3 linked regions of the Oryctolagus cuniculus genome follow. The protein of the gene in region 3 purifies or fractionates together with the protein of the main gene of each other region. This does not show direct contact. Links are inferred from orthologs where the notes say so. Each region holds a gene or a part of one and is shown on either strand. Other genes may lie near its edges.

What was found.
Region 1: the proteins of MBIP (region 3) and KAT2B purify together in Homo sapiens (affinity purification with mass spectrometry; 4 studies listed by BioGRID and IntAct, counting the BioPlex papers as one, with this or other methods). This does not show direct contact. The link is inferred for Oryctolagus cuniculus from reciprocal best matches to the Homo sapiens genes MBIP and KAT2B.
Region 2: the proteins of MBIP (region 3) and ZZZ3 purify together in Homo sapiens (affinity purification with mass spectrometry; 4 studies listed by BioGRID and IntAct, counting the BioPlex papers as one, with this or other methods). This does not show direct contact. The link is inferred for Oryctolagus cuniculus from reciprocal best matches to the Homo sapiens genes MBIP and ZZZ3.

Annotation. Positions count from the first base shown.
Region 1 is NC_091435.1:155,735,798-155,739,449, reverse strand, and holds part of KAT2B (histone acetyltransferase KAT2B), read right to left. Parts: intron 2,995-3,652; coding exon 2,803-2,994; intron 1-2,802. UniProt on the Homo sapiens protein: Functions as a histone acetyltransferase (HAT) to promote transcriptional activation. Has significant histone acetyltransferase activity with core histones (H3 and H4), and also with nucleosome core particles.
Region 2 is NC_091438.1:94,227,675-94,231,326, forward strand, and holds part of ZZZ3 (ZZ-type zinc finger-containing protein 3), read left to right. Parts: intron 1-15; coding exon 16-163; intron 164-245; coding exon 246-361; intron 362-1,417; coding exon 1,418-1,489; intron 1,490-2,740; coding exon 2,741-2,842; intron 2,843-3,130; coding exon 3,131-3,226; intron 3,227-3,652.
Region 3 is NC_091443.1:39,337,774-39,341,425, reverse strand, and holds part of MBIP (MAP3K12-binding inhibitory protein 1), read right to left. Parts: intron 2,095-3,652; coding exon 1,997-2,094; intron 293-1,996; coding exon 254-292; intron 1-253. UniProt on the Homo sapiens protein: Inhibits the MAP3K12 activity to induce the activation of the JNK/SAPK pathway. Component of the ATAC complex, a complex with histone acetyltransferase activity on histones H3 and H4.

The sequences.
Region 1 (3,652 bases), on a different chromosome or scaffold from region 3:
CCTCCGACTTCAGTATGTGTGACTCTGCTGCCAAAACTCTAGGTACAAATCCCCAACCACCTCAAATGTTGTCGTATTCAGTGAAAAGGGATTTAAAAGGAGAAGTGGGTGGTAGTTTTACCCTACCATTAGTAACAGAGAAGAAAAGAAAGCAGTGTTAATTTTTTAGCTCAACAGCATAAGCATGCCAGAACTATGGGCTGAAGGAACAAAACACACTATAATTAGCAAATATCTACAAAAACCAAAATGAATTTTCCATGAAAAAAATTGTAACTTTGCAAAACCATTAGAATTTCTCTGTAAGCACCGTAACAGGTGTGTGTGCTGGGGGGGCAGGGAGTGGGGTCCTCTGCCCCTTGGTCCTTGGCTTAGAGACAGAATAGCAACTATCATCTGAAAACATACAACACTGCTTATATGGCAAGTGCAGTAGAAAGATAAATATGAAAACTGGCTTAATCTCTAAAGAGAAGAGCTTAGATAAGTCAAAAGGATGCCACTGAAATACATGAGCATGCCCAGAATTCATAACCCATTTTAGGGTTCAAACTAAAGCTACAATGCTTTGGAATCCTCCTCTCAGAGGACATTAAAATGTCCACATCATGCCTCAGTCTTGTGCGCTGGTTCTCTTAAGAAAAATTTGACAATCAGGATGCTAGGATATGTAGGCAAAAAATGGGTGTTCAGCTGAAGCTCATTCAAATTATCCATGCTATCCTGTACCTAAACTTTAGGATTTGGGTTAAACGGCCCAGTGATTTTCAATCACTATCAGAAAACTATTTTTGTTACTGTTATTGTCTTGGCCTAACTTCTTCTTATGAATTAAAACCAGTTTTTGTAAGGCAGGATTGGGTAATGCAAAAGCATATCTTATAGACAGACAGAGATTTCCAGACCCAGGTCACGCAGGGCCTGCACTACGCCCTTCATAAGCAGGAAGCAGCTATAGAAGACATGATGATTTGACACCCTTCAACATCCCTTAAGATTAAGAGAATGGAGTCTCTAAAAGGGGAATGTTGTAGGCAGGCATACAGGATAAAACTGATCAGGTTTGTGGGCTGCAAGACCATGCCTTCACCATGCCTCCTGTGTGACCTCATGCCCCTACCTGGCCACACCTGTGTGCCCACCAGCCAATACGGTTAATTAACCATTCCCCTTTGGAAGTGGAGTAAAGGCCTGGAACACGATGGGCCCATCCTCTTTTTTGGCCTCTTTCCCTTTTGCCCTGGGCCTGCTTGCTGTCCCTGCACCTGCTTACTGTCCCGGCGCCTTCGTGCCTTTGGGGCAAGTGACCTTCAAGCCACCTGCCCCATGCTTCCTGGCCTGCATGCTCCTCCACGTGGCTGGCTCCTGGTACTCAGTATGAATCCAGATTTCCCTTTCTTTCTTAGATAGGGCCCTCACTCTCCTATGCATTTCTCACTGAATAAAAAGCTTAAAACTTAAAGTATATCTTTTTTTTTTTTTTTTTGACAGGCAGAGTGGACAGTGAGAGAGAGAGACAGAGAGAGAAAGGTCTTCCTTTGCCGTTGGTTCATCCTCCAATGGCCGCCGCTGCAGCCGGCGCACTGCGCTGATCCGATGGCAGGAGCCAGGATCCAGGTGCTTTTCCTGGTCTCCCATGGGGTGCAGGGCCCAAGCACCTGGGCCATCCTCCACTGCACTCCCTGGCCATAGCAGAGAGCTGGCCTGGAAGAGGGGCAACCGGGACAGAATCCGGCGCCCCAACCGGGACTAGAACCCGGTGTGCCGGCGCCGCAAGGTGGAGGATTAGCCTACTGAGCCACGGCGCCGGCTCTTAAAGTATATCTTAATAATAAAAATCTAGTTTCTCAACTAAAAAATACTTCATCAGTCCTTGATGAAACAATATAAATTTTCTCTCAATTTCTATTCTCTGTATCAGCACTTCTCACTGACATGGGGAAGGAAAGCCATGTCATACCTAGAGAGCCTACTCAAATTCAACCTTCTACCTCCCCCTCTGAAGTGCTGATTGAGGTGGCGTGACAACCACAAAATGAACTGTCTCACTCGTGTCCTGCTACCATCACTCTGTTGACAAGCCATCAGCTGCACCTGGAGTCCTTCTAGGCAGCAGACAGCCCTTCAGCATCAAGTTTTGGTTCTTAGCTCTGAAAATGCATTCCCAAGGCCAATGGCGCAGTACTGGAACTTCCCATTGCTTTGACACATTTCTTTCATTGGAAAAGATTTAAATTATTATTTATGTCTTGGAGCTCTCAGAAGTCCAAGAAGCGAGAATATACAACAAATTAAGAGTTACAAAGGACAGGCTGAAGGAAGCCTCTAGTCCTGTTCATCACTGCTCTTTCAGCATGGATTCCAAAGACTGGGGAGGTAGAGAGGTTCACTGGTACTTAGGAAGTGTTGGAGAACTGGAATGGACAAAAACAGCCTCTTGAGTTCTTTGCACCACTTCTGAAAGGCGGTAAAGTGTATCTACATGTTCTCTCCTTCCTCCTCTAACTTCCTGGCACCTGATACACAAAACAAAGCACTGCCCCATTCTATGAGGCTCAGAGACATTAGCAGAGGTAGAAGGAGGTAGGGCAAAGTGAGCAATGGCTGTGGACAACATCAAGCCAACCTAATGAAGACTGGAAAACACCCAAGAAGACTCACAAAGGGAACTGAAGGGCCTTTCTGCCTCCTTTGTGGAAAGCTTCTCCTATCATTCCCAATTTTGTTGTTTATGCATATTTTGGCACATATTTAGCAAAACCACAGGTCCCGGGCCAAAGACCAGCAAGAGCTCGCCCTTACTTTGGGAAATGAGTGAGGATCAGAGTTCGTTTCTCAAGAGGCAGTTTGTCTTTTTCCTGTCTTGCTTGTTCCAGCAGTTGTCTCCTCATAACGGTGAAGACTGAGCGAAGCAACGTTCTCCCGAACACCTGGGTGGTTTCATACCGAGGTAGACTGTCACAGAACTGTGGCACATTGCAGTAACACAGCCACCTGCCACAAGAGGAGATAAGCACCATCAACATCCTGTAAACCCCAGGTCATCTGCAGTATCCAAGTCCAGTAACCCACACGGGAAATGAGGCCTTCGGTGACAAGCAACATCACCACCAGCTCCTGCACCTTGGGAGTCACGGTACATGACCCCGCAATACCGCCTGGACGGAATTCTGTGAAACCACCCCATTCTTCAGCTTCACGCACAGTTCCAGAGCCAAACAGCCCTGTGATCAAATCCCTGCTCTGCCACCACGTGGCTGCGTAACTTTGGAAATACAATTATGTTACTCAGTCTCCACTTCCTTATCTGTAAGATGGGAACAACAATAATTACTTCACTGGATTCCTGTGAGCACTAAATGAGGTTATCGTCTGTAAAGTGCATAATGTCATTCACGTTTATGGCGCACAAACAGTAATTTAGATAAAAGAAAAAAATAAAGGAGACACTGAATTAGTCCCTTTTGTGAACAAATCAGGATTCTACCACCTGAGAAAATGTTAAGGCTTCTTTAAAATGCCTACACGGCACTTACATACCACCAAAGCTTTGGTGGGAAGATAAAGATCTTCACTGTTCAAAACTCAGTCAAAACACAGGAAGTGTGTCGCCAAGGTACACTTCTCAGTGACTCAGTCTCAAAGTCAGAAA
Region 2 (3,652 bases), on a different chromosome or scaffold from region 3:
TTGGTTTTTTTTCAGGCTGATATAGGGCTTCCATATCCACAGAGAGTTGTTCAGTTGCCTGAAATTGTATGGGACCAATATACCAATAGCCTTGGAAACTTTGAAAGGGAATTTAAAAATCGTAAAAGACATACTAGGAGAGTTAAACTAGTTTTTGATAAAGGTAAGAAGTTATGTAAGAATTTAAATAAAAAAAATCTGACATTGTCTTACTTGCTTAATTCTGTACATGGTCTTGTTTTTAGTAGGTTTACCCGCTAGACCAAAAAGTCCTTTAGATCCTAAGAAGGATGGAGAGTCTCTTTCATACTCTGTGTTGCCTTTGAGTGATGGTCCAGAAGGCTCACACAGTCGTCCTCAGGTGAGCAGTATGAAACATTGGAGTAGGAAAATTTGAATTGTAGATGAAATGTTTTAACATTTTACAGGTTTATGATTTTTAAAATTAAAGCAGTCTTTAACTGGAACATGATCTTTGAAGTTTGGAGAAGCACATTGGAGTCCCATCTTGCTCCCTGTGGAGCCTTAGATATCATTTATGTTATGTTAAAATCTCCAAGTTACAGTTTCCTCTAATATTAAATGAAATTAATATTACCTATATTGTAAAGTTATTGTTAGGATTCAGTGGGTAGATACATTGAATGTTTCTAGTCCAGTATTTGACACACAGTATTGACCCTAAAAATTACAATGACTTTTGGTGTATAGTGGAATATTAACCAGGATTTAAGGCCTATACTTGTGACCATTAGATGAACCTAACCAGACATGTTAATTTTCCCACTTTAAAAATGATTTTGTTTATTTAAAAGGCAGAGTTACAGAGAGACTGGGAGAGAGAGAGAGACCTTCCATCTGCTGGTTCACTCCCCAAATGGCTGTATAGGTCAGGGCTGGGCCAGGCTGAAGCCAGAAGCCAAGAACTCCATTCCAGTGTCCCATGTGAACAGCAGGAGCTGAAGCGCTTGACACATTGTACCTGTTTAGGACATATTACACTACTTTCCAGATCAGAAGTGGAGCAGCAGAGTCAGTGTCCAGAGTCTCGGATGGCGCTGCCACACTGTCATCACCCCCCTGCTTTTTTTTTTTTTAAGATTTTATTTATTTATTGAAAGGCAGAGTTAGACTGAGAGAGTTTTCCATTTTGAACTCCCATTTTCTTATTTTCTTTTCTGTAAAATGAAGTTGCTGTCATCTACATCACAGGATTACTAGGATTATAAAATCAAATTAACTACAAGAATGTAAGAGCATTTTATAAATAGTAAAAACTGATGTTTACCTTTAGAAAATAAATTTACTAAAATATGTTGAAATTCTTTAAAAATTTAACAATTTGTATGTTATTTGGCTTTATCAAAAGGTAGTCTTTATTATTGTCCCTTTGACGAAAACCTTGTTTTATGTGCAGATGATAAGAGGCCGCCTTTGTGATGATACCAAACCAGAAACATTTAACCAACTGTGGACTGTTGAAGAACAGGTAATATTTTAAATTGTGTATATTTTAAAAAAAAGTTGTTAATATTAGAGTCAGTGCATTATGAGCCAAGTACATATTGTTTATGGAATCCCTCTTAATCATGAGTTTAAAATATTTAGCTATATTTGTACATACTCTTCTTTACACTAAAAGACTTTTTGGATCTTGAGAATATGTCAACCCCTGTTTGGGGATAATTTTTAAAGGAAGCCTGAGTTTCGGGAGTGGTGTGGAGTAGTTGTTTTGTAATCCAGATTTCTGGGGTTAGGGGGTAGAACATGAGGCCAAGTAAGCAGAACTCAGAGTGCGTTCTTAATTTGTGTGTGGAGGGAATCTGGCAAGGCCATGGCAGTGTTCTCTCACATTCTGGCATACAGTTTAGGATTGTTTTTGGTATTAGGCTAGGATTGTTTGTGGGTGAAGTTTGAGACACATCTGTGACCCATATGGGGATTAACTCCATAGCTATAATGAGTTTAGCAGTTTATAAAAGGCTTTAGGAAACCTTTACTTATTTCAAGCATCCAGATTATTTTCCATATTTAAGACCCTGAAATAATTTAGGAGATGGGTTTTGAATACTTTGAATGGAGAACCACACAAGGAGGGGAAATAGCTCTTAATATTCTAAATCCAAATGAATTTGCATTTTTTGTTAAAAAGTATAGGGGAGAGCCTGGCATATTCCAGCAGGAAAAAGATAGTGGAAATCACTGAGCTGTGTAGAAGACCTGTTTACTTACTTATTTTCTGTTTTCTTGTGCTTTTTAACTTAAGTGAATTAGGTCTTTTTTTTTTTTTTTTTTAAGGTTATTTATTTTGAAAGAGAGAGAGACAGAAATTTTCCTTCCGCTGGTTCACTCCCCAATTTGGCTGCAATTTGGCTGCAAAGGCTGGTCAGGCTCCAGGAGCCAGGAACTTCTTCCCAGTCTCCCACGTGGGTGGCAGGGGCCCAAACACTGTTATTCCTAGGCCACTGGCAGGGAGCTAGATCAGAAGTGGAGCAGCCAGGTCTTGAACTGGCATCCATATGGGATGCTGGCACTGCAGGCAGCAGCTTTACCTGCTATGCCACAGCACCAGCCCCTGAGTCTTATTTTCTAACACAACCCCCAAGTTGTGGAAGGAGGATTACACTTGTATTACAATGTATTACATTGTATGACAATGTATTGTGAATGTATTTATTTATAAATTCAGTATTTCAGATTGAATAGTTGTTTTCTTAAATTTGGTCTTGTGCTTGCTTAGAAAAAACTTGAACAGCTACTCCTGAAATACCCTCCTGAAGAAGTAGAATCTCGACGCTGGCAGAAGATAGCAGATGAACTGGGCAATAGGACGGCAAAACAGGTACTTGAGGAGACAGCTGCGGGTCCTTGGCATGGTTTTGGTAGTTTTTGAATGAAGGCTAGCACAGCTGAATCAGCTGAGCCACCATATCCTTTTTAGCCATGGAGTGCTATAGTATGTGGTGTTAAATAAAAATGTATTTAGTGGCAATTTGAACTTATTCTAGACTTTATGATGAATTTTAAACTGTTAGCGATGATTGATTGACATTTACATTTTAATTTTTAAAAGCTACTTAGATATTCCGTACCATGTCATTATGTTAAAGGGCTTGTCATGTTTCTTTAGGTTGCGAGCCGAGTACAGAAGTATTTCATAAAGTTAACTAAAGCTGGCATTCCAGTCCCAGGCAGAACACCTAACTTATATATATACTCCAAAAAGGTAAACAGAAAATATTTGACAGTAAACTTCAAATTAAATTTATTCAATTTAGAATTGCTATGTAAATGTGTACATATTTGTCAGAGTTGTTTTATTTTAAAAATTATGTTTAGTGTAAGCATTTTATTGGGCATATGCAAAGGATAGGATTCTATTACTGGTACTCAGTGAAAATCACTGAGCTTTAATGATTCTTCATTACTGATGGTAATACTGAGCTGATGGTAGTGTTATTACTGATGGTAATAATAGTGAGTGTTAATGTTATGGTTGAGTGCTCTGGACCAAGTACTGTGCTATAACCTTTTTATAAATAAGGAAACTGGGATTTAGAGTATGTTGAGTAAATTGGTACCGTAGCTAGTGAGTCTAAGAACCACTAAGACTTTTCCTCTTTCCTATGCAGACCACCACATTAAAATGTAA
Region 3 (3,652 bases):
TCAGAGTGCCAGCTGAAGCCTGGGCTGCTTTGCGTCCGCTCCAGTTCCCTGCTAATGTGTCTGCAGAAGCAGACAATAGCGTTAAGTTCCTGGTCCCAGCCATCCAACTTGGGAAACCTGAACGGAGAGTGCCTAGCTCTAGATGTTGCAGGCACTGGAAAGTGAACCAGTCGATGGAAGACCTCTGTACCTTAACAAAAACCAAACTGAACAGTTTCAGAAGACAAAACAAAAACGTAGTAATTCAACTTACCTGAGGGGGTTGAACTTTTCTTCTTTTTCCAGAAAAGTTCTAGAATAAATGTTAAAAGAAAAGTATTCAATATTTAGTTAATGTAAGCATCGTTTTCCCTTTAGAAATTACTATACAGAACACAGAGCTTTTAATAACCCTGACAGAAACAATGCCCATAAACTCAGAAAACAGTATCTGCAACCAACGGGAAGTTGGCTTCGGAAGATCATGACAGTGGAAGTACCCAACAGTAGTGACACTGCAGCATCACACTTGGCTCTGCCATACTCACTCTCCTGTTATGGGCCACTTCTAATAGACTGAGTGTGGGGGCGGTGTCCTGGGGATTTTCACTTAATGTCCTTTTTATAACCTTTCTATCCCCCAACACTGAACAACCAGAGCAGCAATAAAGAGGAAAATGGAATTTGGCACCAGACCAAGGGATGAACCCTGATTCACTGTAGCAGGCACTGTGGTTACCCAGGCATGGGCACCTAAACACGTAATTGTGAGCACAACACACTAAAGAAACAGCTGGGACCCAGCTTCCATTGTTTTATCTTAGCAGGTACCGGCTAGCTATGGTTACAATACCCACATCCCACTGGAAAACATGCAAGTCCAGGGAGCCACGCTCTAAGGAAACTCAAGAGTAAGGAGGCCTCTCCCATGACTACAACTGATTAAAAGCAAAGAAAGTGGTTAAAGCGCAACTGAATCTGCACACCGAGGTCCTAAATGTTCCCTCTGGTCCCACTGCTCTCCAGCTTTGTCCCTGTCTTCTTTTTGTCTTTTTTCTTTTGTCCCGCTTCCTTGACTCCAATTTCTCCAACTCAGACTTCATAATGCCGCTAGAAGGGGACTTAGATGACAACTCTCTCAAAAACTAGAATGTGTTCCAGTGACTCTGACAGTGCAAACTGGTTAATGTGACCTTCAAAGCCCTCTGAAATGTTTTCTAATTTGTATCCAGCTGCTTTCAACCGTTTGCTCCGGCCTCAGGTTCACCACTCACTTTCACTCACAAAGGGCCTCCAGGCATGATGCTGACTTGACCTGCAGCGTTCCTGGCCCCAGATACTACTTTTTAAAAGAGTTAGCGTTACAGACTGGAATTTATGTCCAGGCTCTGCTTTGGAGCACTTTCAAAAGTCCAATAATAAACTATCAGTCCCATCCACTCATCTGCACATTTACTCCATGTCTATATTCTGTGTACTGAAGAATGAGGACACAGTTCCTGCCATTGAGAGTTTCAAAACAGAGTGAAAAACAGATGTGTAAACATAATTATAAGTGGTAAGTGCTATAAAATGAACTAATGCTAGAACTGAGGACTTAAGTAAAACAGGTGGCAGTGTGAGGTCTGGTATGAGGAAAGGTACCAGGTATGAGTTGAGGGAAGGAGTGTGTGGGGAGAGAGGGATGAAGTCAAAGAAGGGCTAACTACAAAGCATGGTTTCAGAGGAAGCCTCGGATTCAAAATAGCAAGTTTACAGGGATGGCATCCTCCACTATCCAGGCTGACAGATTGTGCTGCAAAAATGGATCATGTCTGAGAATTTGAGAGAGCTATAAAAGTATCCTTTTAAAAATATGCAAAATTGGGAGTTTTCAAAGAAACCCCTAACATGGGACTGTGTTCGTTCATCTATCTATTAAAACTGTTTTCACATATAGATCAATGAATGAAATGTTACACAATGAAGAATCTTAAAATATTGCCTTTAGTTATTTTTAAAAGATACTTATACTCACTATAGACTGAAAGTATTCAGGAGAGATGCCTTCCAATTCAAGTATTTTATCCTCAAGTTTTTTAATCCTCTGATAAATGTCTCTTGGCACTGGACCACCTAAATACAAAATAAAAATTTCTGAGACATTCTTCAATGTTTCTTCTTACAACCTTTATTCTTAAAATACCATGCAAAGACACTTATACAAAGGAATAGGAAATAAGCAAACAAAAGTCAGAATGAAATCCTTAGCTCCTATTTCCATGTTATACACTATTGGACATATCCTCTCGCCACACACCAATAATTCTTCCTTTTTGGCTAGGAGTCCTGTTTTCCACTACATTCATTTCACAAGACACTGAATAGCTTCTGTAAAGATCAATTTGCATTTCTGTTGGGCTTTGGTAGTTACTTGGCAGGAGAAACATACACAGGGACACATGACAACTCAGGGGTTGCAACATGTTCTATCGTTACTTTCTTCTATTTACATTTCTCCCTACATGCCACATTTCCTCCTCTGTCCCAGAAAAGTATTGAAAAGCAGCTTTCCCACAGATTTGCATTAACAAACTTTTGGGGAAGAGGGACAGGTAATTGAGGGCCCTCAACTTTCAAGTCCACAATTACATCCAAAATCCCACTTCTCACCACCTCCCCTGTGACCACTTTGGTTCAGACCACGCCCACCTCTCCCTGCATGATCAAAACCTTCAAACTGGTCTCCAATACAGCATCTGTGATCCTTCCAAAATGCAAGTCAGGTACTGTCCTTTCTCTGTTCAAACCATTTCACTTAGACTAAAAAAACAAAGCCCATAATGGCCTACATGGCTCACCACACCCTGGCCATTCTCCCCATACTCAGATGCTTCCAGCCACTTGATTGCTCTGATATTATTTAACAAGGATGCACACCTGACAGCTTTAGCAATTGTCCCTCTACTCTGAAAATCCCAAGGCTAACTCTCGCCAAGTTCAGGTCCTGGCTCAAAATAAGGCTTTCTCTGACCATCCTTTAAAGAATACTATTACCACCAGCACTTTATACTACAGAAACCTAGGAAGCATCATTTCCTAGACTACAGTGCCTGGCACGAAGCAGGTGCTCAGTGTGTACGGAATGAACAATCAGAAGATTGTTGCACATATAAAGACTGCATTTCCTATCAAAAGTATCAACCTGTTAAATATAAAAACCAGGGGCTGGTGCTGTGGTGTAGTAGGTTAAGCTGCTGCCTGCAGCACCAGTGTCCCACCTGCTCCACTTCCAATCCCATTCCCTACTAGTGGCCTGGGAAAGCAGTCAAAGATGGCCCCTGCACCCGGCTGGGAGACCTGGAAGAAGCTCCTGACTACCGATCAGCCCAGCTCTAGCCATTGTGGCCATTTGGGGAGTGAACCAGCAGATGAAAGACCTCTCTCTCTGTCTCTCCTTGTCTAACTCTACCTCTCAAATAAATGAATAAATCTTTAACATATATATAAACTCCAGAAAACTATCTTTTGACCTCAATTATTCTTGCTCTTGAGTAAAGTGAAATGAGTGACTTATTCATTTTCCTTTGCTGCTCTGTTTACCTAGAATCCCCGCACCTTATCAGAGCAAGTTCAAGCTTCACTGGGCCACGGAGGCACTGACTGGACTTCTTCACACAGAGGCTCCTATCAG